Linked DNA regions of Xenopus tropicalis. Each later gene encodes a partner of the first gene's protein in a complex. Links are inferred from orthologs where the notes say so. Each region holds a gene or a part of one and is shown in the gene's direction. Other genes may lie near its edges.

Region 1 (4,020 bases):
GTCAATGTGTCTACCCTGCATTGGAAAAGAATTTTATAGCACGGCTTATTTTAGATTTTAGGTAAATATGAATATCTGCTTTTATTTTATCCCAAGAGCTGACATTCATGTATGCCTGTAAGTATATCCATACAGTGCCACAAATAAGTAAAGCATTTTGCAGAAGGAACAGTTCCATTTTATATATAACATTTAAATTCAAACTTTATATATAAATACAGTAAGTTTCTGTAAGTCCCCTCTGGAGAAGCTTACGGTGCCACCCTTCCTACCATGACAGCATGCCATTGTAACTTTAATAAGTAAGGAGACGTATCACTTCCTGGTATAAATGAGCGATAACTGACTAGTGTACTTGCTCTCACTCCCAATAGTTAGTATTTCTAACACTACAGGATTCTAATGCTCCTGCCCATAAGACTTACAGTGCTGATGAACCATAATAAAGCAGAAGCTACCAATGGCAATTTTATTAATACTCAGATTGTAAGCTCTATGGGGCAGGGACCTCCTTCCTACTGTGTCTCATACCACATGGCACTTATAATAAATAAATACATATATGTATATATATATATATATATATATCACTCGTCCTCCCTGTGTGTAATTTTGTATTCTGTAAGACTGTACAGCGCTGAGTACCCTTGTGGCGCTTTATAAATATAGTTGTACATACATACATTAACACGTATGAGACCCTAATGTCTGCCACTTAGCTCCCAGCATGCACAGCGGCACTTACTCCTCTCACTTACAGGGTGCAGGGAGAAACCCACCGCTTAGCAGAGCCGCCCGTTCCACAGTACACACTCTCCGGGGACTGACCCTACCACCCCTATCGGTAACACATACATAGCATCACTTGCTACTCTCATTTCTATTTCGAGCTTCCGTATTCTCTGCAATCATTTGTGAGAGACTTTGGCTGGGTACCCAATTGGTTAGCGAACTCCAAGTACGGTGTCCATTTCAGGACATACATTGTCCAAATTCAAGTGCAAAATTAATACTAGAAGGGGGAGGCGCAATTCAGAGATTTTGGAGGTGGGAGAAAGCAGGACGCACTTGGATTTTTAGATAATTGACCTATAATGGACACCGTAGTCCTGGGCAGTGTGAACCAATCAGAAGGCAAAGGAGTCCGGCTCTATTCCACATACTTCCGGTATCTGGTGCTCTGTGGGCTAGGAATTTCCCATAGGTGTAACTTCACAATGAATTAGAGAGCAGCGGGTCTCCTCCGGTAAGTAGAATACCTGTAGTTCGTCGAGGTGATGGGCCGAGTCTTCGCCGGGGGTTACTGGGAGTTGTTCTTAACCCACAGATGGGAATTCGAAGAACAAATTAGTTTATTATACTCAGTGCCGGTGTGGGCTATAGAGACTGTAGTGCTCCTTATAACGCTGCATAGCTACAAGAAGCAAGCTTTAGCTTTATAGGTGGCAGTCATTTCCAGGGACTGCAACACTAGTCCCCACCGCACTCAGACTGTAAGCTCTGCAGGGCAGAGACCGCCTTCCTTCTGTCTCTCTTACCAGTGACACAGTTATGTATTTTTATACTTATTTATTGCAGTGTTTGTTCTCCCTGTTTACACTTTTCTGTATTGTATAATTGTGCAGCTCTGCATATTCTAGTATGTATGTATGTATATCTTTATTTATAAAGCGCTACTTATGTACGCAGCGCTGTACAGGAGAATACATTAATACAAACGGGCTTATTAAGATAAATACAAAGTCTAACAATAAATATAAATTAATACAAGATACAGTTGCAATAAATTAAAGGAGAAGGAAAGGCTAAGTCACTTGGGGGTGCCAAAATGTTAGGCACCCCCAAGTGACTTAAATAGCTTACCTTGTGCCCCTGTTAGGAGAACACTGCACCAGCCCGGGGTACCTGTAGCGAGCGCTTCCTTCTTCCGTGTTTTTTCTGCGGTGAAATCCCTTGGCCGGCGCATGCGCATTAGAGTGAAAAGCCAACTTTGTTGTTACAGTTCAGCTTTTCACTCTACTGCGCATGCGCAAGCGCGCCAACGCGGGAGAAGGATGCACTCGCTGCTACCCCGTGCTGGTGCTGTTCTCCCTAACGGGCACCAGCCTGGGGTACAAGGTAAGCGATTTAAGTCACTTGGGGGTGCCTAACATTTTGGCACCCCAAGTGACTTAGGATTTCCTTCTCCTTTAAGAGTCAAAGACACAAGAGGATGGAGGTCCCTGCCCCGTAGAGCTTACAGTCGTACAGTAGTAGTACTTTAAAGCTGGTCTGTATGCCACTCCTTTAATGGCTTTGGTTGTAATAGAGAAATTGCGTGTAAGAATTCCTCTTTTAACAACTAAAATTTGTGGAGCAGATTGTCAAAACTGATTCCCACTCACAAGCTCACTAAAATATCTGTGTGCAGCCAGTCTTTTAAAAAGAAAAAAAAAAGGCTTAAACGTTCTGGGGACCTACTGTAGTCATAACAATGGTCTGTCGTTAGAATTTATGGACGATTGGCCAAGTGCAAGATTTAATCTCATGGTTTTTTTTCCACCCACAGATTTCTTTGCCCCCTACTACTGACTTCTCCTGACAGATTGGCCATGACTTCCACAAGTAATATAAATGTTGTTTAAGCGACTGCTAACTTTTTTCTTTACACTATAGTAAAAATACAAATGAATACCTTCTGTATACATTAAATCCTGTATTATATTAAACAACCTTGAAGTGCTTAAAGGGCACCTATTGCAAAAATTACATTTTAATACAGGCTGCATCATATTGAAATAAGAAGATCTCTAGATGTAATCAATTAAAAACTTCTGTACTGTGTCTGAAATAATCAATTTACTCTCCCAGCATCTGTCTCTCTTCATTCTCTCTTTATTCTCTCTCTCTTTATTCTCTCTCTTTATACACTTATTAGGATTCTGATTTTGATTGACAGTTAAGTCTTGTACAGCATTTGGGGGGGGGGGGGGGGGGTAGGTGATCCTTTTGCCTAAAATATGTATTAGAGCTCACTCAAAAATCCTGCCTCTCTACGTCCAGAGAATAAAGACAGGTAGATGCTGAGTGGGAGACAATGAAGAGTAACTTAGTTATTTCAAAAATGGTACAGAATTTTTATTATATTTAGAAAGTTTCTTCCCCATTGTAGGAGAACAACAGATTCTTGTATCTCCAGAAAAGGAAGAAATTTTGGATACACACGTTACAGACTCTTCACTCTAGGGGATTAAAATAAGAGTATAATCTATATGCATTTATTTAATAATATGTGAAAGTAGACTACACTACTGATTTTTGGCTGATTTTTGTATTACACTAGGAATACCAATGATTCTTATTTAATGTATACCTACTGTATGGGATTGCAGCACATTGCATAACATGTACCTTTAAGAGGGGAGCTTTAGGTAGACACTAACAAATGTGTTGTCATTTACTTTTTTGTTTGATAAAGGGGCAGGTTCCATGAAACTTTATTTTTTTTTATTTTTACAATAAAAGCTTTGATTTTCACCAATATTTAGACTTTTTTGTTTATTATAACTTAAGTCTGGTGATTGGCACATTTCTACACTCGGGTTAAGCTAATGTATTCACTGGGGTTGCCTAACACACCATCTCTTAAAAATTTCTATTTCTTAGTCTTTTAATTTATTACTAGTAATATATCCTTTAACATATAGAGACAATGTAATGTGCAGAAATACATGCACTTGTATACTTTCATACCATATTAACAGGAAAATAAACATAATTTTCTTGTATATATGTGCGCTATCTAGAAAAGTGAAAGAGCTGGTAAATATTAATTTCTTTACTTTTCAACACTTCCTCTATATGAGTCCTACTGCCTACAAGGCCAACTGACTTCTGAGTTTTACATATTCCTTCCATAGAACAAAAGACATCAAGGAGCAAAGATGATGCCCCACACGAACTAGAGAGCCAGTTTATCCTGCGACTCCCACAGGTGAGTATGACACCTATCCGAGCAAGGAATCCTATGTAGAGCTGCTT
Region 2 (4,271 bases), on another chromosome or scaffold:
GGGAAGGACTTACTAACCTTGATGTGGCGATAGCTCCGCCTATGTGGCACCACAGCCCCACCTCTTCCCCACCCTTTGTGATGTCACCCCGCCCCCTTGCCCCACTAAGAAAGCCGGCAGAGGTGGCAACCCTAAAGTAAAACAATAAAAACAAACTTAATTGGTTGCCATATGTTTTTACCCAATTACAAACTTGCCCAATGTATATAAATGAGCCCTGTTATGCTTTGTGTGAAGCAGGACATTCTTAGCAGAAAGATAAGAGGCCCTCGCAAAGGGGACATATTTTCAAGTGCTCCAAATCTCTTCTAGCAGCGATGCGGGCTTAACGACCCATGTTTCCTTCCCATCTGCATTAATATAAATCACCGCTAGGTAAACATACGCCCTGTATAGTAGCTAGCCTAGTCGCAACTTACGGTAGCCATATACAGGCTGATTTTAGCTGCTATCGGTCCTTCAGACCAATTCAGCAGCTTATCTGCCCATGTATGGGCACGCACGACAGGCCACCCCAACCGACATCTGGCCTAAAATCGGCCAGATCTCTATTGGGCAGGTTTGATTTTTATGTTGGGTCAGGGACCACATTGACTGCACATTGATGCAGTCCCCAAACTGACAGCTCCTGTACCCTCTGTTTTAATTCAATCGTACCCCGCGAGTGGGCATAATGAATATCAGCTCATTTGCTGACCTTACAGTGTATGGCCACCTTAAGGGGCATATTTATTATGCTGTGTAAAAAAAAAAAAAAAATTCGCCAGGCTTCGCCGTGTAAAAATGGCGTAATTGTTTTACGCGTTTTTTCTTCCACCCGAACTTATGGGAAAATAACGGCGTAATATCCGACATTCAGGTGGCGATCTTTTCCATTTATTTTACACAGCTTTTTACTACGAATTAGTTTTACACAGCATAATAAATACGCCCCTAAGTGTCCATTAATCCTCAGCTGGGGCAGCCTTATTGCCCCACACATATTCTACTCCGGCCATTGTTTCTGTATAAAAGTTTTTTGGTTTTTTTTTATTATCTTTAGCAATATTTCCCCATTTAATAGTTAAGAATTTTAATGAAAGTTGTGGGAATCAATCCCAGATACGGCTATACCACCACATAAAAGAATTTCAAGAAAAATATATATTTTATATAAGAAAACATAACAAAGTTACTGCTTACTTGTACTAGGTTGAGAGTAGTAGTAAAATAAACTGCGTACCAAAGGGAAATGACAGAGTATACCCACACTGCATCTCGCCAAAACTCAGACGCCTGTACGTTCCTCCGTATTACGCACACGTAACTAAGCCCGGCGCTGTCTCTCTGTAGCTGGCAGTGCTGCGCATACATGTGACATCCGCTGTGCGCCGGCCGCCCTGCCTCACTGGGCACGTGACTGGCTAGTCTATATAAGGAAGAGCGCGCCGTCTGTCGGGCTTGTTTCAAAGCAGATTGAAAAGTCGGCGTTAGAAGACAGTCATGGCGTCGACGAGTCGGTTAGTATGTTACCTACCTTTTGGTGCCTTTGCAGTTGTGTTTGTCCTGTCCGTGGGCAGCATGCAGCGGGGGGCTGCTTTGGATAGACTTTCGCTTTCTATTACGCGGGGTGACGACCCTACTGGGGAGCGAATATGAAACTCTCTATACGGCCCCTAAATCAGAACTAATCGTGCCGTACGGTGCAGTTGTTCGGCCGTAGTCCCTGTGAACTTTGTATTAGTCGCTGGGGGAATGGTGGGGATTGTAATGCAGTGAGTTATGGAAGCCAGCGCTGTCAAGTTCGCCTTCATGGCTGGAATCCTTTGTGCCCTGCAGCCTAACTGGGCCAATATTATCCTGCAATGGGGATTGGTGGAACGAGCCATTATTACTATGTTTTCTCAATGGTGATAGGGTTTTGTGGTGGGCCCTTAACTATGGGATTCAGCATAGTCCAGTTATGGGGAGATTTAGGGATAGTACTTATTTGCCCTATTAGCCCAGGTTGAGGGCCACTGAGCAATTTGGACAGGAGACCCTGTTAAACTGACTGCCCCTGGGCTACAGCTGATTGGCTAATGCAGCAATGCCTGTCTGTCCTTTTTATTAACTAAGGGGCTTTTAAAGTCTAGAACAGTGGTCCCCAACCAGTGGCTCGTGAGCAACATGTTGCTCCCCAACCCTTTGGATGTTGCTCCCAGTGGCCTCAAATAAAGTGCTTATTTTTGAATTCTTGGCTTGGGGGCAAGTTTTGGAGGCATAAAAACCAGGTGTACTGCCAAACAGAGTCTCCTATTAGGCTGGCAGTCCATATAGGGGCTGCCAAATAGCCAATAACAGTCCTTATTTGGCACCCCCAGGTACATGTTTCATGCTCGTGTTGCTCCCCAAGTCTTTTTACACTTAAATGTAGCTCACGGGTAAAAAAGGTTGGGGATCCCTGTTCTAGAAGATAACCTAGTACTGTTTTGTGATTCTGTAAACCGGGTGGGTTCTTGTCTCCGCTATAGGGCAATATCCCTGCAATAGTGGCTTTGGCTTCCCCACTGGTTGCTATGTTAGTTGCTATCATTCTATTGACCTGAGTTTCCTGACCTTTTTCTCTGGGGACCAGAGCAAAGTCTAAAAGTTTTGTGACCCAAGTATTATTTATAATATACTTAATTATAATGTGGCTTATTTCATTTTAAGTAGAAGCAACACTGTAAGTCACTCACCTTAAAGCATTGGAATCCACTTTGGTGCCCTGATCTGTAGGGCTTTTGATGTATGCACTTCTCTTCTGGCTTTTAATTACATTTAGCTGCTTCAGTCAGAGCTACGTAGGTGTCTAAATGGTGTGGCATGGCGCTGTCAGGTGTATGTGGCTATGAGGCTGGCTGCAGTCATGTTTGGCATTTGCTTGGCAGGGGGCCTGTAGATGAGTCTTTAATGCTAAAGAAGTTCTGATCTTTCCCTTATATTGACTATTCTGGGGAAAAAATGGACTTTAATAGCTCCGCTTTCTCCCTGGGTTAAAAGGCTAGTAACAGCAGGACCTAAACACGCAGTCAAAACATTTACATATAACGTATGGGCATATTTATCTGAGTGAAAATAAATCTACCCATCACTTATTAACTTTGATAAATATGCCCCTAAAATACTATAAAAGCGCATTATTCCTTGAAAAATTTGCCCCTAGAGTAAGTAGCGGTTTATTGTCATCCCAACAATATACTTAAAAGTATGCAGTGGAACAAAATATCGTCCTCCTGGAGCAAAAAGGTGCAAGAGAATATGGACCTGTAAAACCTTCCTATGGTGAAGTGTCTATTTTCATCCATTTAATAAATGTGTCCCTTAGTGTGAAAACTTGAAGCTTGGGCACCAGTTTTAGAAAGTGATATCTTATTTGAAGATTCATCAATAGATCCCAAGGGTCTTTAAAAAAAAAAAACACTCTCTGAACACAGTGTGCGTTCTAAACATGCTTCAATGGGGTAAGGGAACATAAGTTGTAATTTTGGGAATATTAGTGCAGTAAAGAGGAGGGTGTGCTAGAAGTGTGTGCCACTCTTTATAAAGCTAAAAGTTTAGTGTTTAGGCCAGTTGTAAAGAGATGGGTAAACACTGCTAAATAAATGTTCATAAACCCTTGAATTTCATGGACTGTAATGTTTAACTTTGCTAATGGTTGCATATGTTAAAGAATGACTGACATTGCTGAATTTGACCTCTTAAGGTGGCCATACACGTAACGATCCGCTCGCCTGGCGAGATCGCAGAGCGAGCGGATCTTCTCCCGATATCCCCACCTACGGGTGGGTGATATCGGGGAATTTAGGCTAATTCGGTATGACTGTAAAGGGCGCAGTTGGTTCGGGGACCGCATCAACGAGCCGATGCGGTCCCCGGTCGGACTGAATCTTTTAACCTGCCCGATCAATATTTGCCCAATTTCAGGCCAGATATCGGTTGGGCAGGCCAGTCCAGTCGTTGCTGACCCTACACAGGCCGAAAAGCTGCCGAATCAGTCCAAGGGACTTATCGGCAGCTACAATCGGCCCGTGTATGGGGACCTTTATGGAGTATTTTTGACAGACCTACCTGCTATCCCATTTGATCAGTCTGTCCAATAGAAAATTCTGCCATTGCCTCACATTTACAGGGCATTAGCAGATCTAGAAGTATATTGTATCCCCAGAATGATTGGGACCTGGGGTTTTTCAGCTAAGAGAAATGTCTGTAATTTGGATCACCATACTTATGTTTGCTAAAAACACACTAAACGCTATTAGATTGTTTTG
Region 3 (4,018 bases), on another chromosome or scaffold:
GTTACTGACGGCGAGTGTATAGTTACTGACGGCGAGTGTATTAGTTACTGACGGCGAGTGTATTAGTTACTGACAGTGAGTGGGTTAGTTACTGACAGTGAGTGGGTTAGTTACTGACGGCGAGTGGGTTAGTTACTGACAGTGAGTGGGTTAGTTACTGACAGTGAGTGGGTTAGTTACTGACAGTGAGTGGGTTAGTTACTGACAGTGAGTGGGTTAGTTACTGACAGTGAGTGGGTTAGTTACTGACGGCGAGTGTATTAGTTACTGACAGTGAGTGGGTTAGTTACTGACAGTGAGTGGGTTAGTTACTGACGGCGAGTGGGTTAGTTACTGACAGTGAGTGGGTTAGTTACTGACAGTGAGTGGGTTAGTTACTGACAGTGAGTGGGTTAGTTACTGACAGTGAGTGGGTTAGTTACTGACAGTGAGTGGGTTAGTTACTGACAGTGAGTGGGTTAGTTACTGACAGTGAGTGGGTTAGTTACTGACAGTGAGTGTAAAGAGACCCCCATAATGGCTGCCTGAGTGGAGGCGGGGGGGGGGGGGGTGGATCAATAAAAAGAAAGTCCCAGCTCCCGGGAGGCGGACACTCACCCACTTGCTCAGTGAATCAATGTCGGAGCAATTTGGATCCGGTTTTCACTCTTGTGGTTTCCCAGTCCGTTTTCGGTCTGCGAACTCCGCCATATTGCTACACCCAAATACTGGCCTCAAGCAGCCCCTGCCCCAGGGTAAAGTCCAGCCCGCCGGCTCCTAACAGCCCCGGTTTGGTTGCCTGTGGCGCTTTTCACGCTCAGAAGAAGGAGTTGGTGTCGCGCCTCACTGTCAGTCTGACTCCCATGCACTTCGCTAAGCTCATTTCCGTGTGTAGCAACATGGCGGCACTCTAGCGTGCCTCAGCACGTAACCAAGCGACATCCAATCACAGTCTGGCTTTGTTCAAATCCTAACGCAGCTTTGCTATCACCGCTTTGATTGGCAACATTTTAAGCCAGTAAATGGCCGCGCCCTGGCAGGTAGCCAATGGGCTTTCTACGTAAGGTTATGTTTCTCCTGAGCTGTGTAGCTGCCGCATTGGCCGGTAGGGGGCGCTGGGACACGCCTTGCAGGAAGATGGCGTAAAGGCACTGCCCGTTGTTTTGGGGAGGAGATTAAGTGGAGGAGCTGTTTCCGGGTGTTGACGGAAGTTCCTGTCCAAGGGTGAAGATGAGCGGGACGGAGACAGCGCCAGACTCTCTATCTGCTATTGCCTCAGTCCAGCCCGGTCCGGCCCCAGAGAGTAAGCCCAGCCCGGCAAACATTCCCAAACCCGGGCCTGCCGCGGCCTCTGCAGCTGCTCTACCCGGGAGGGACACGGGGGAGCGAAGAGCCAGCGGTGAGCGGCAGCAACTGAACCGGAGAGGGAGGGGGGGGTACTCACAGGGGACTGGGACTCCAGGAAAGGCCTGGGGAGAGAAACCCAAGCATGGAGGGGAAAGGGAGAGCCGGGGGGGCAGCTGGAGCAGAGAGGGGCCCGGGGGGGGCAGCTGGAGCAGAGAGGGGCCGGGGGGGCAGCTGGAGCAGAGAGGGGCCCGGGGGGGCAGCTGGAGCAGAGAGGGGCCCGGGGGGGGCAGCTGGAGCAGAGAGGGGCCGGGGGGGGCAGCTGGAGCAGAGAGGGGCCGGGGGGGCAGCTGGAGCAGAGAGGGGCCCGGGGGGGGCAGCTGGAGCAGAGAGGGGCCGGGGGGGCAGCTGGAGCAGAGAGGGGCCCGGGGGGGCAGCTGGAGCAGAGAGGGGCCCCGGGGGGGGCAGCTGGAGCAGAGAGGGGCACCGGGGGGGGCAGCTGGAGATGAGAGGGGGCCCCGGGGGGCAGCTGGAGCAGAGAGGGGCCGGGGGGGCAGCTGGAGATGAGAGGGGCCCGGGGGGGGCAGCTGGAGCAAAGAGGGGCCCGGGGGGGGGCAGCTGGAGATGAGAGGGGGCCCCGGGGGGCAGCTGGAGATGAGAGGGGCCGGGGGGGCAGCTGGAGATGAGAGGGGCCCCGGGGGGCAGCTGGAGATGAGAGGGGGGCCCCGGGGGGCAGCTGGAGATGAGAGGGGGGCCCCGGGGGGCAGCTGGAGATGAGAGGGGGGCCCCGGGGGGCAGCTGGAGATGAAAGGGGTCCCGGGGGGCAGCTAGAGAGGAGGGGGCTGTCATAGCTGAGAATTGCCCTTTGCTAGGGCAGGGGGTAGGAGTGGTGCCGGGGGTGAGAAGGGGAACGTATGGAAGGAGCTGGGTGAATGGACCTGTTTCGGGGCAAATGGTGCCCACTGGGTTGTACAATGGGGAGTACAGTTTGGGGACAGATAGGGTGGGGGGGTATTTGGAGAATTGGGCGCAGGTAAGTGCCCGGCTGTGTGACTATTGCCCAGTCCTTTCCAATTCCAATGTATGTTCTGTTATTGATCCTCCAGTCCCTGCATCAGCGGCTGCTGCCCCCTCCGAGGGATCCCTCTCTAATGGCGTGTACCTGCCCCCGGGGGTGGCAAATGGCGATGTCAAACCTGTCATTTCCACTACCCCCCTGGTGGATTTCCTGATGCAGCTGGAGGACTATACCCCTACGGTAAGTGTCCCTTGGGTCTGTATGGGAAATGCTGTGCCCTAGGGTACTGGGGGGGGGCAGTGCCAGGCATTTGCCCCACCTTACACAGTGTCAGGGTGCAGCTTGTGCCTACAGAACATCATTTCTCTGTATGTATGTATATCTGTTGGTGGGAGCTGCCATATTGTTTCCCTGTATCATTGCTTGTATCTGTTCCAACATTTGCTTTACATTCCTTCTCCCGATTTCCTGCAGATCCCAGATGCCGTCACTGGATATTACCTGAACCGGGCCGGGTTTGAAGCATCCGACCCACGCATGTAAGTACAACTCCTGCTGCCATACGTTATTGGCCCGTGGGTACCGGAGCTTCTCAGAGCCCTGTAGCAGTTGCCTCGACTAGGAAGAACCTTCCCTTATTCTGGCCAGCCTGTAGCGCTAGGTTATGGGCCGCCGTGGCCAGTAGCCGTTTGCTCTGTGCCTACCAGGAGAGCTGACAGTCACGCTTATGGCCACAGCAACTGGAGGCCTAAATAGGGGTTAAAGTGCCCGTTCTGGTGCTGCCATTCCGTTATATGTATTATCCCTCTTTATTATTGTTTATCTTGCTTTCTAGGAACTGTAATGTAATTGGTGGAGACTCGTTTGGTGAGATTGCCAAATGAGCGGATCTTCTCCACCTACAGTGGGCAATACCGGGCTAGGGCCAAACCATCGCAATGGCAGATATCGGTTGGGTAGGCCCGTCGGGGGGTGCCCATACACGGGCAGATAAGCTGCTGAATTGGTCTGAAGGACCCGAATCGGCCCTTAAAGGAAAAGTAACACTAAACATTTTTAACTAAAAAATCTATTCTGCCCTCCCCCAATAATTGCCCTATCCTGAAATCCATTTGTTATTGTGAATGCATCAACTATGCGGTGATCGACTGATCGAGCCTAGCCTGACTCATTCCTATATACAGAAGTCAGGGGCTAGATCAGTCGATCACCGCATAGTTGATGCATTCACAATAACAAATGGATTTCAGGATAGGGCAATTATTGGGGGAGGGTAGAATAGATTTTTTTAGTTAAAAATGTTTAGTGTTACTTTTCCTTTAACCCTAGCAACCAATCAGAGTTGCTTTCATTAGTCTTACTGCAGTTATCCAATCAGGCCTGTATGGTGATTACTATGAGTTCAGCACAGCATCTGTATTGACTTCGCTTATTTTGAATTTCACACCGGATCCTCTCGATCTCTGTAGTGATCCGCTGACCCCACCGCTTGTCTCTCCTAGAATCCGGCTGATCTCCTTGGCATCTCAGAAGTTCATCTCTGACATTGCAAATGACGCCTTGCAGCACTGTAAGATGAAGGGGACGGCCTCCGGGAGCTCTCGCAGCAAAAGCAAGGTACCCCGCCAGCAAATGCCCTTCAGTGGGGCTATTGTGCCCAAGGTGCCCCTTTGTTCC
Region 4 (3,968 bases), on another chromosome or scaffold:
TTGAGCTGACCAATTTGATTTGGAGCCATTTTATCTAGTCTAATAGTTTCTACTATTTTCTAGCTCATTCTGTAGTGCTACAGCCTAAACTCAGCAATAAACCTACGGCTCCCTGTACTGTTGAGGCATGATCTTACTGAGTACAATGGAAATTAGGCACTAAGTTATGTACATAAACCAACCTTGTGTTGTGAAACTAATTTGTGCGTTTAATTGGTTCCTCAGAGAAAAAGGTTTAGGGGCACATATAGCAAAATTTGTATTATTGTACTACAAAATCTCAGAATTTAGATATAACAAGGCTTGATTATTACATCTGAATGAATACGTTTATGGTTTTTATAGCTTCTTAGGGCTCTGGCACACGGGGAGATTAGTCACCCGCGACAAATCTCCTTGTTCGCGGGAGACTAATCTCCCCAAAATGCCATCCCACCGGCGATTCAGTGAAATCGCGGAAGTTGCCTTGAGAGGAAACTTCCGCTATTTCACTGAAATCGTGCCGCCACGTATGCCATCCCACCAGCGAATGACATTTTCGCCGGTTGGATGGCATTTCGGGGAGATTAATCGCCCGCGAACAGGGAGATTTGTCGTGGCGACTAATCTCCCCGTGTGCCAGAGCCCTTAAGAGATTTGGAGAAACTAAAACCACACGCAGGTCATTTTACAAATTTTGCTTGAAGGAATCCCATTGTGACATCTGCAAGTGTATAATTTGACTACACCATTTTAGTATACCTTTTTTTGTCATTTCAAGCAATTTGCTGCTGCTAATATTATAAATATCCCCTACATCTTATCTTTTTTTTTTTTTTACTTTATTTGTTCTTTTAAACAGTCATCTAGTTGTTGGGTCACTGATTTATACAGTAGGATTAATAGCAGATTAGCTTCATGGTGTTGTCTTTACTGCTTGCTATGGTCACATAAGGTTGTCATACACTTGCAGGTTCTAGCTGCCAATTTAGTTCCTTCAGACCAATTTGGCAGCTTATCTGCCTGTGTATGGGCACCCCCAACACGGATCGGGGACCACATTGGCTCGTTGTTATGGCCCTCTGTCCTACTGTTAACTTATCACATTTACCAATACAGGTGCTAACTGCTGAATGTAAGCTATGTTTTAATGTTTTTTTTTTTTTTTTTTTTTTAACTTCTTTTTATAGGATTTTTGTCTGCTGCTGGAATGGTTTATTTTAATTTGTAGGAACAGCACACTTTGTTTTATTCTTAGTGGGATTTCCAATTAACGCAACATGGATCAAAACAACAGTATACCCCCTTTCCAGGGGTTGGCATCACCACAGGTAAGTGTGAACCCTTTTTTCCCTTTTACCACAATTCCCCCTCCATAAAATAAAATGCCTTTAAAAGCATTGTAATATTCACTTCATTTGCACTTTCTAAATTGGGGGGTATACGGTATACCGGGTGTGGTTAATTTGGACAACAGATACAATACTGAAGAATGAAAAAATAGAAGAAAAACTTGAGACACAGGCCAATATGCTTCCAACTGACTTAGGGGGGAAATGCAAGTCAGCAGCCAATATTGGCTTCAATGCAAATGTTTCTCTTGCTGGGGCGCTTGTCGTAATAGGTGGAGGAACGCCATCCTGAGGGCTCTTGAACACAAAACAGATGTGTTCCGTTCTCATTCATGCATGTGAATGAATATAGAGCTGCATTTCATCCTATGCTTCCTTGTGGTGGAAAGGAGAAGAAATCCAATTCGGGAGACTGCAGGGTGAAAACACCTGTGTGTAAGAGCCCTTAGCTTGTCCTACTCCATGTGCAGGGCTATACCATAAGATTTTCATTAAAGAAATCCCCATGTACTAAGCCCATTTTAACTTGTGATTCAACTTGTGTGTGGGTTTGAGAGCAAATTTGTTATAATTTTTTTTTTTTTTTTGTCTTTTATTTCTGTAGGGTTCTCTGACTCCAGGGATTAACATTTTCAGTCCGTTGATGCCCTATGGAACTGGTCTGACCCCTCAACCTGTACAAACAACTAACAGTTTATCAATATTGGAAGAACAGCAAAGACAACAACAACAGGCCCAGCAGTCTACATCACAACAAGGCAATCAGGGGTCAGGCCAAACCCCACAACTGTTTCACCCACAGACTCTTACCACAGCACCTCTTCCAGGAAATACACCCTTATACCCCTCCCCAATGACTCCCATGACCCCTATTACTCCTGCTACCCCTGCATCAGAAAGTTCAGGAATTGTTCCTCAGCTACAGTAAGTCTCATCATCCTGGGGGACATTTTGCAGATATCATTTGTCAGATTATCTGTATCTGCACACTTGTCAACAAATCCTTATGTTTGTCTGTACATTTCTGTAGTGCCATAGAGCATACAACTCTGCAAATGGTAAATATTAGATATACAGGAAATGGAAACATATTCTGGCATATTTTAATTTTAGACAGTAATGACTTTATTTGTTATACCACATTTGAGTGTGGCCTGTCAAAATTAAAAGACCTTATCTTTGTTTTACCTTTGGTACTAATGAGTATTTTAACAGTGCTGCATTACCTTTGTTTACCCTGTGAGTGTTACATTTGTTTAAAAAAAAAAAAAGCTACATTTCTTAAAAATATAGGAGTCCATATTAGATTTAAAAGCTACCAGGCCAGGGGTGTGTGTATATATTAGGTCTAGAAACAGATGCAGACGGTTTCCTCATTTCAGACTTTTACACCACATTCTTGAGACTGAATTGATGTCATATTTAAAGTGAAACTTTATTGAGGGAGAAAGACTTGTCTTGATATGTAATTTAGCATGTACAGTAGTATCCTAGTTTTAATGTGTCCTATATCTGTCCAACATGTGTGAAAAATAGAACAAGTAAAGAATTGGGAAATTAAAATAGTTTAGCACTTTTACAAGTACTAATAGTGCAAATTTTTTTTTTGTAATACTTTTTAAAAATTTCCCATGGGGCTAGCCATGTTCATTTCCCAGGGTGCCACAGTCATGTGACTTTTGCTCTGATAAAGGTCAGTCACACTTTACTACTGTGCTGCAGATAGGAGTGATATCATCATCCCCCTGCAGGCGATCAGCAGAACAATGTAAGTTAGCAAGCTAGCAGCTCCCAGTAGATATCAGAACAGTACTCAATAGTAAAAAAAAAAAAAAAATTCAAGTCCAGTAGCTCTGGCTCCTTCTGAAAGCTCAGACTCGGGCACAATGCACTGATCTGGCTGCCTACAACTAAAAAATTACTTTTGTTGGTTTAAGAATAAAATTTTAAATGGTAAATTATTTGCTATGTAAACAGTAATTTAGAAATATAAGTACACAATAAAAATTAATGACTGAATACCTTTAAATACAGTGAGCAAAAATATTTGGATTTGTAATAACTGCTTTTACATTGTTCAGGAACATAGTGTCCACTGTAAATCTTGGCTGCAAACTGGATCTGAAAACAATTGCACTTAGAGCGCGAAATGCAGAGTATAACCCTAAGGTAAGACAAAAGCCTTTGTTGTATCTTATTCACCTAATAGTTGCTTTCACTGTGACAGACGGGGAGATTAGTTGCCACGTGACAAATCTCCCTTGTCGCGAGCAACTAATCTCCTCGAAATACTATCCCATTGGCTGGAATGTAAATTGCCAGTGGGATGGCATAAGCATCGCCGAAGTTTCCTCTCAAAGATGCCGCGTATGCCATCCCACCTGCGATTTACATTCTAGCCGGTGGGATGGCATTTCGGGGAGATTAGTCGCAACTAATCATCTCGTCTGTCACAGCCCTAAATATTCTTATCTATCTGTAAAAGTCATTCAGGAGAACACACTGGTGCATTGTATGGCACTTAATTCTGTAAATGTGTGATGAGAAAAGGATTTCCTGTTTGTAATTTTGTCCTGCCATACCCACTGGGCATAGTATTTTTATGCTGGCCTAGAAGTGGCATGAGGATGGGTTATC
Region 5 (2,590 bases), on another chromosome or scaffold:
ACCAAATTGGTTGAATCAGCTTGTTAAGCCTTGAACTTCATATGCAGGTTATGATGCATATTTTCTGTTAATCCAATACTACCGTTTCCAGAAGACATGTTAAATATTAAAAGGATGTTGATACTTTGAAAGCTCAGCTAATGATAAACAAAACTCCAAATAATTAAGAGGGGTTCCCAAACCTTTTCATATGACTGTATATCTGTTATTTTTAAAAAGCCAGCATATATTGTAATGCTATATTATATTGTCTTTAAAGATACACTTAAGCTTGTTACTAATATTTTTCCTATTAGATATTATGGAAGACCTATTTTCCATATGATGTTTAATTGGCTTCCCAGTCAGATATATTATTTTACCTTACTTTGTCAGGAACATTCTTTTGTTCCTTACTGATATGTTTTTCTTTTCTCCCTCTGTGATTTATTGTACCTCATCCAGAATATTGTTTTTGTTAAATTTAAAACTGAGGCTTTTTTTTTTTCGTTTGCCAGTGATTGCAGCACGTCCACTCTCAATACCTTATCTGAATGCCCTCCTCCCATCAGAACTAGAATTGCAGCAAGTAGAGGAGACTGATTCCTCAGAGCAAGATGATCAGACTGACGCAGAGAACCTGTCTATGCATCTGCAAGGGGTATATGGAGAGAAACTTGAGTTTGTTATGTCCTATATTTATCATTCCGCATGCAACTTACTGCTTTGCCTTTATATTTTACTGTTATGTTTCCTATGTTTGTTTATCTAACTTAATTTACTCATAGTTCCATAGGGTTGAAAAAAGACCAGAGTCCATCAATTTCAACCCTTCCAAGTAAACCCAGCACACACAAATCTATACTGACCACATACCATATACTGACCATATACACTCACATACATAAACCAACATCAATACTAACTATAGATTTTAGTATCACAATAGCCTTGGATACAATGTTTGGATACTGTTGTAGTCCTTATTTAAAGGAGACATATTGTGTAAAAACATAGAAGGAATCTGCATTAAAAAAGATATGCTTTGGCTGATTTATTAAAAATGTAATGCAGATCCCTACTAGTCCCACTCATCTCTTTCACTTCCTGCTGACTCCTTTCCCAGGCTGTACAGAGGAACTGTTGGCACTTAGCACACTGCACTGTATAATAAGAATTAGAAGCTAGGTAGACCTGATAGGGAACTAAAGCCTGTCTTTGCTACTGTGACTAGAGGGCTGTGATTTGCTACCCCACCCCCATCCTGCTTATGGCAGGAACCATTAGAACATGCCCACCCCTTAATTGAGCAGATATATATATATATATAGAGAGAGCTCCGATAAATTATCTTTTAAAAGATAATGAGCATTTTTTTCCCCTGAGTGAAAAATATATTATTCATTATTGTCACCAAGCTTAGGGGGGGTTACACTTATGCTATATGTCTCCTTTAACTACTTTATTCATTCTTTCCTCAACCTGTTTTCTGCTCAGCCATCCACTACATGCTTTAGAATGCTTCACCCTTTTGTTGACCTTAATTCATCCCAGTGCCCTTTCCCTGGTATATTTTGATATTTTATTGCTTAACTTCCTATTTTATTTTTAACTCCCAAGGACGAGGTGGGCATGGAGAAAGAAAATTCATCTGTTTTACAGCAGAATTCAATGAAGGGTGGAGAGGAAACACTTATAGATAATCCCTATCTACGACCTGTGAAAAAACCTAAGCTGAGGCGTAAGAAATAGAGTAGCCAACCCTGAGATTCTGAATGAAAAACTACAGAATATTTAACTGGACATTAGTGACTCCATTTACCAGAGCTTGAAAAGGATGTTGATATTGAAATTTTATTAAAGTTGGCTGCTCTGTATTGTTGATTACAGGAAAAGTTAAGAGTCCATATGGGCAACTTTAATTTGAGTCTTGACATGCAATGTTTGAACCTTATAAGGATCCTTGAATAGGGATATATATCTTTCATTTCATACCCTGATATAATATATATCTTTTCATTTAATACCCTGATTTGAGGACACAGATACTGTCCCTCATGAGGTGTTTCATAATAAAAGATTTTTGAAAATATGAAGGGTATTTTTTTGTTTGTTTTGCTTAGTTTTGTGCACAATACACGTAATGTTTACACACTTATTGCTATTTTAGAATATAAGCCAAATGTATAGATGAAAAGCAGTAAATGTGCTTTTGTTTCTGCAGTATTAATTAAGTATGCAATTTGGTAGTAAAATAAGATTGGCTGGTAAGTATATTATGCATACACCTAATACAAGAGATTGATCTTAAAACAGTTTTGAAAATGTCTTTGATTTGCTGAGCGCAGACAAATTAGTATGTCTGTACCAAAAGCAATTCAATTACTAAAATAAACAATAGATTGAGTGTTAGGTAAGTGGAAAGGAAAGAGAGTAGGTGGGTCAGCATGATACATAGCCTTTTTTTGTTTATGGATGCAATCATGTATGTATGTATGTATATCTTTATTTATAAATCGCTACTTATGTACGCATCGCTGTACAGTAGAATACAGTAATACCAACGGGATTATTAGGATAATAATAGATAAATACAAAGTATAACAATAAA

The links.
Region 2: taf7 (region 1) and gtf2b share a complex: the UniProt entries of both Homo sapiens proteins name them as parts of the TFIID-containing RNA polymerase II pre-initiation complex. The link is inferred for Xenopus tropicalis from reciprocal best matches to the Homo sapiens genes TAF7 and GTF2B.
Region 3: taf7 (region 1) and taf10 share a complex: the UniProt entries of both Homo sapiens proteins name them as parts of the TFIID basal transcription factor complex. The link is inferred for Xenopus tropicalis from reciprocal best matches to the Homo sapiens genes TAF7 and TAF10.
Region 4: taf7 (region 1) and tbp share a complex: the UniProt entries of both Homo sapiens proteins name them as parts of the TFIID-containing RNA polymerase II pre-initiation complex. The link is inferred for Xenopus tropicalis from reciprocal best matches to the Homo sapiens genes TAF7 and TBP.
Region 5: taf7 (region 1) and taf8 share a complex: the UniProt entries of both Homo sapiens proteins name them as parts of the TFIID basal transcription factor complex. The link is inferred for Xenopus tropicalis from reciprocal best matches to the Homo sapiens genes TAF7 and TAF8.

Annotation. Positions count from the first base shown.
Region 1 is NC_030684.2:37,692,435-37,696,454, forward strand, and holds the start of taf7 (transcription initiation factor TFIID subunit 7-like), read left to right. Parts: upstream 1-1,211; 5' UTR 1,212-1,246; intron 1,247-2,548; 5' UTR 2,549-2,591; coding exon 2,592-2,604; intron 2,605-3,899; coding exon 3,900-3,973; intron 3,974-4,020. UniProt on the Homo sapiens protein: The TFIID basal transcription factor complex plays a major role in the initiation of RNA polymerase II (Pol II)-dependent transcription.
Region 2 is NC_030680.2:105,690,943-105,695,213, forward strand, and holds the start of gtf2b (transcription initiation factor IIB), read left to right. Parts: upstream 1-1,455; 5' UTR 1,456-1,482; coding exon 1,483-1,499; intron 1,500-4,271. UniProt on the Homo sapiens protein: General transcription factor that plays a role in transcription initiation by RNA polymerase II (Pol II). Involved in the pre-initiation complex (PIC) formation and Pol II recruitment at promoter DNA.
Region 3 is NC_030678.2:177,470,355-177,474,372, reverse strand, and holds the start of taf10 (transcription initiation factor TFIID subunit 10), read left to right. Parts: upstream 1-1,198; 5' UTR 1,199-1,209; coding exon 1,210-1,378; intron 1,379-2,429; coding exon 2,430-2,581; intron 2,582-2,815; coding exon 2,816-2,880; intron 2,881-3,810; coding exon of another isoform or gene 3,811-3,843; coding exon 3,844-3,958; intron 3,959-4,018. UniProt on the Homo sapiens protein: The TFIID basal transcription factor complex plays a major role in the initiation of RNA polymerase II (Pol II)-dependent transcription.
Region 4 is NC_030681.2:50,706,513-50,710,480, forward strand, and holds the start of tbp (TATA-box-binding protein), read left to right. Parts: upstream 1-1,168; 5' UTR 1,169-1,259; coding exon 1,260-1,310; intron 1,311-1,935; coding exon 1,936-2,255; intron 2,256-3,412; coding exon 3,413-3,500; intron 3,501-3,968. UniProt on the Homo sapiens protein: The TFIID basal transcription factor complex plays a major role in the initiation of RNA polymerase II (Pol II)-dependent transcription.
Region 5 is NC_030678.2:70,726,565-70,729,154, reverse strand, and holds the end of taf8 (transcription initiation factor TFIID subunit 8), read left to right. Parts: intron 1-497; coding exon 498-640; intron 641-1,599; coding exon 1,600-1,731; 3' UTR 1,732-2,071; downstream 2,072-2,590. UniProt on the Homo sapiens protein: The TFIID basal transcription factor complex plays a major role in the initiation of RNA polymerase II (Pol II)-dependent transcription.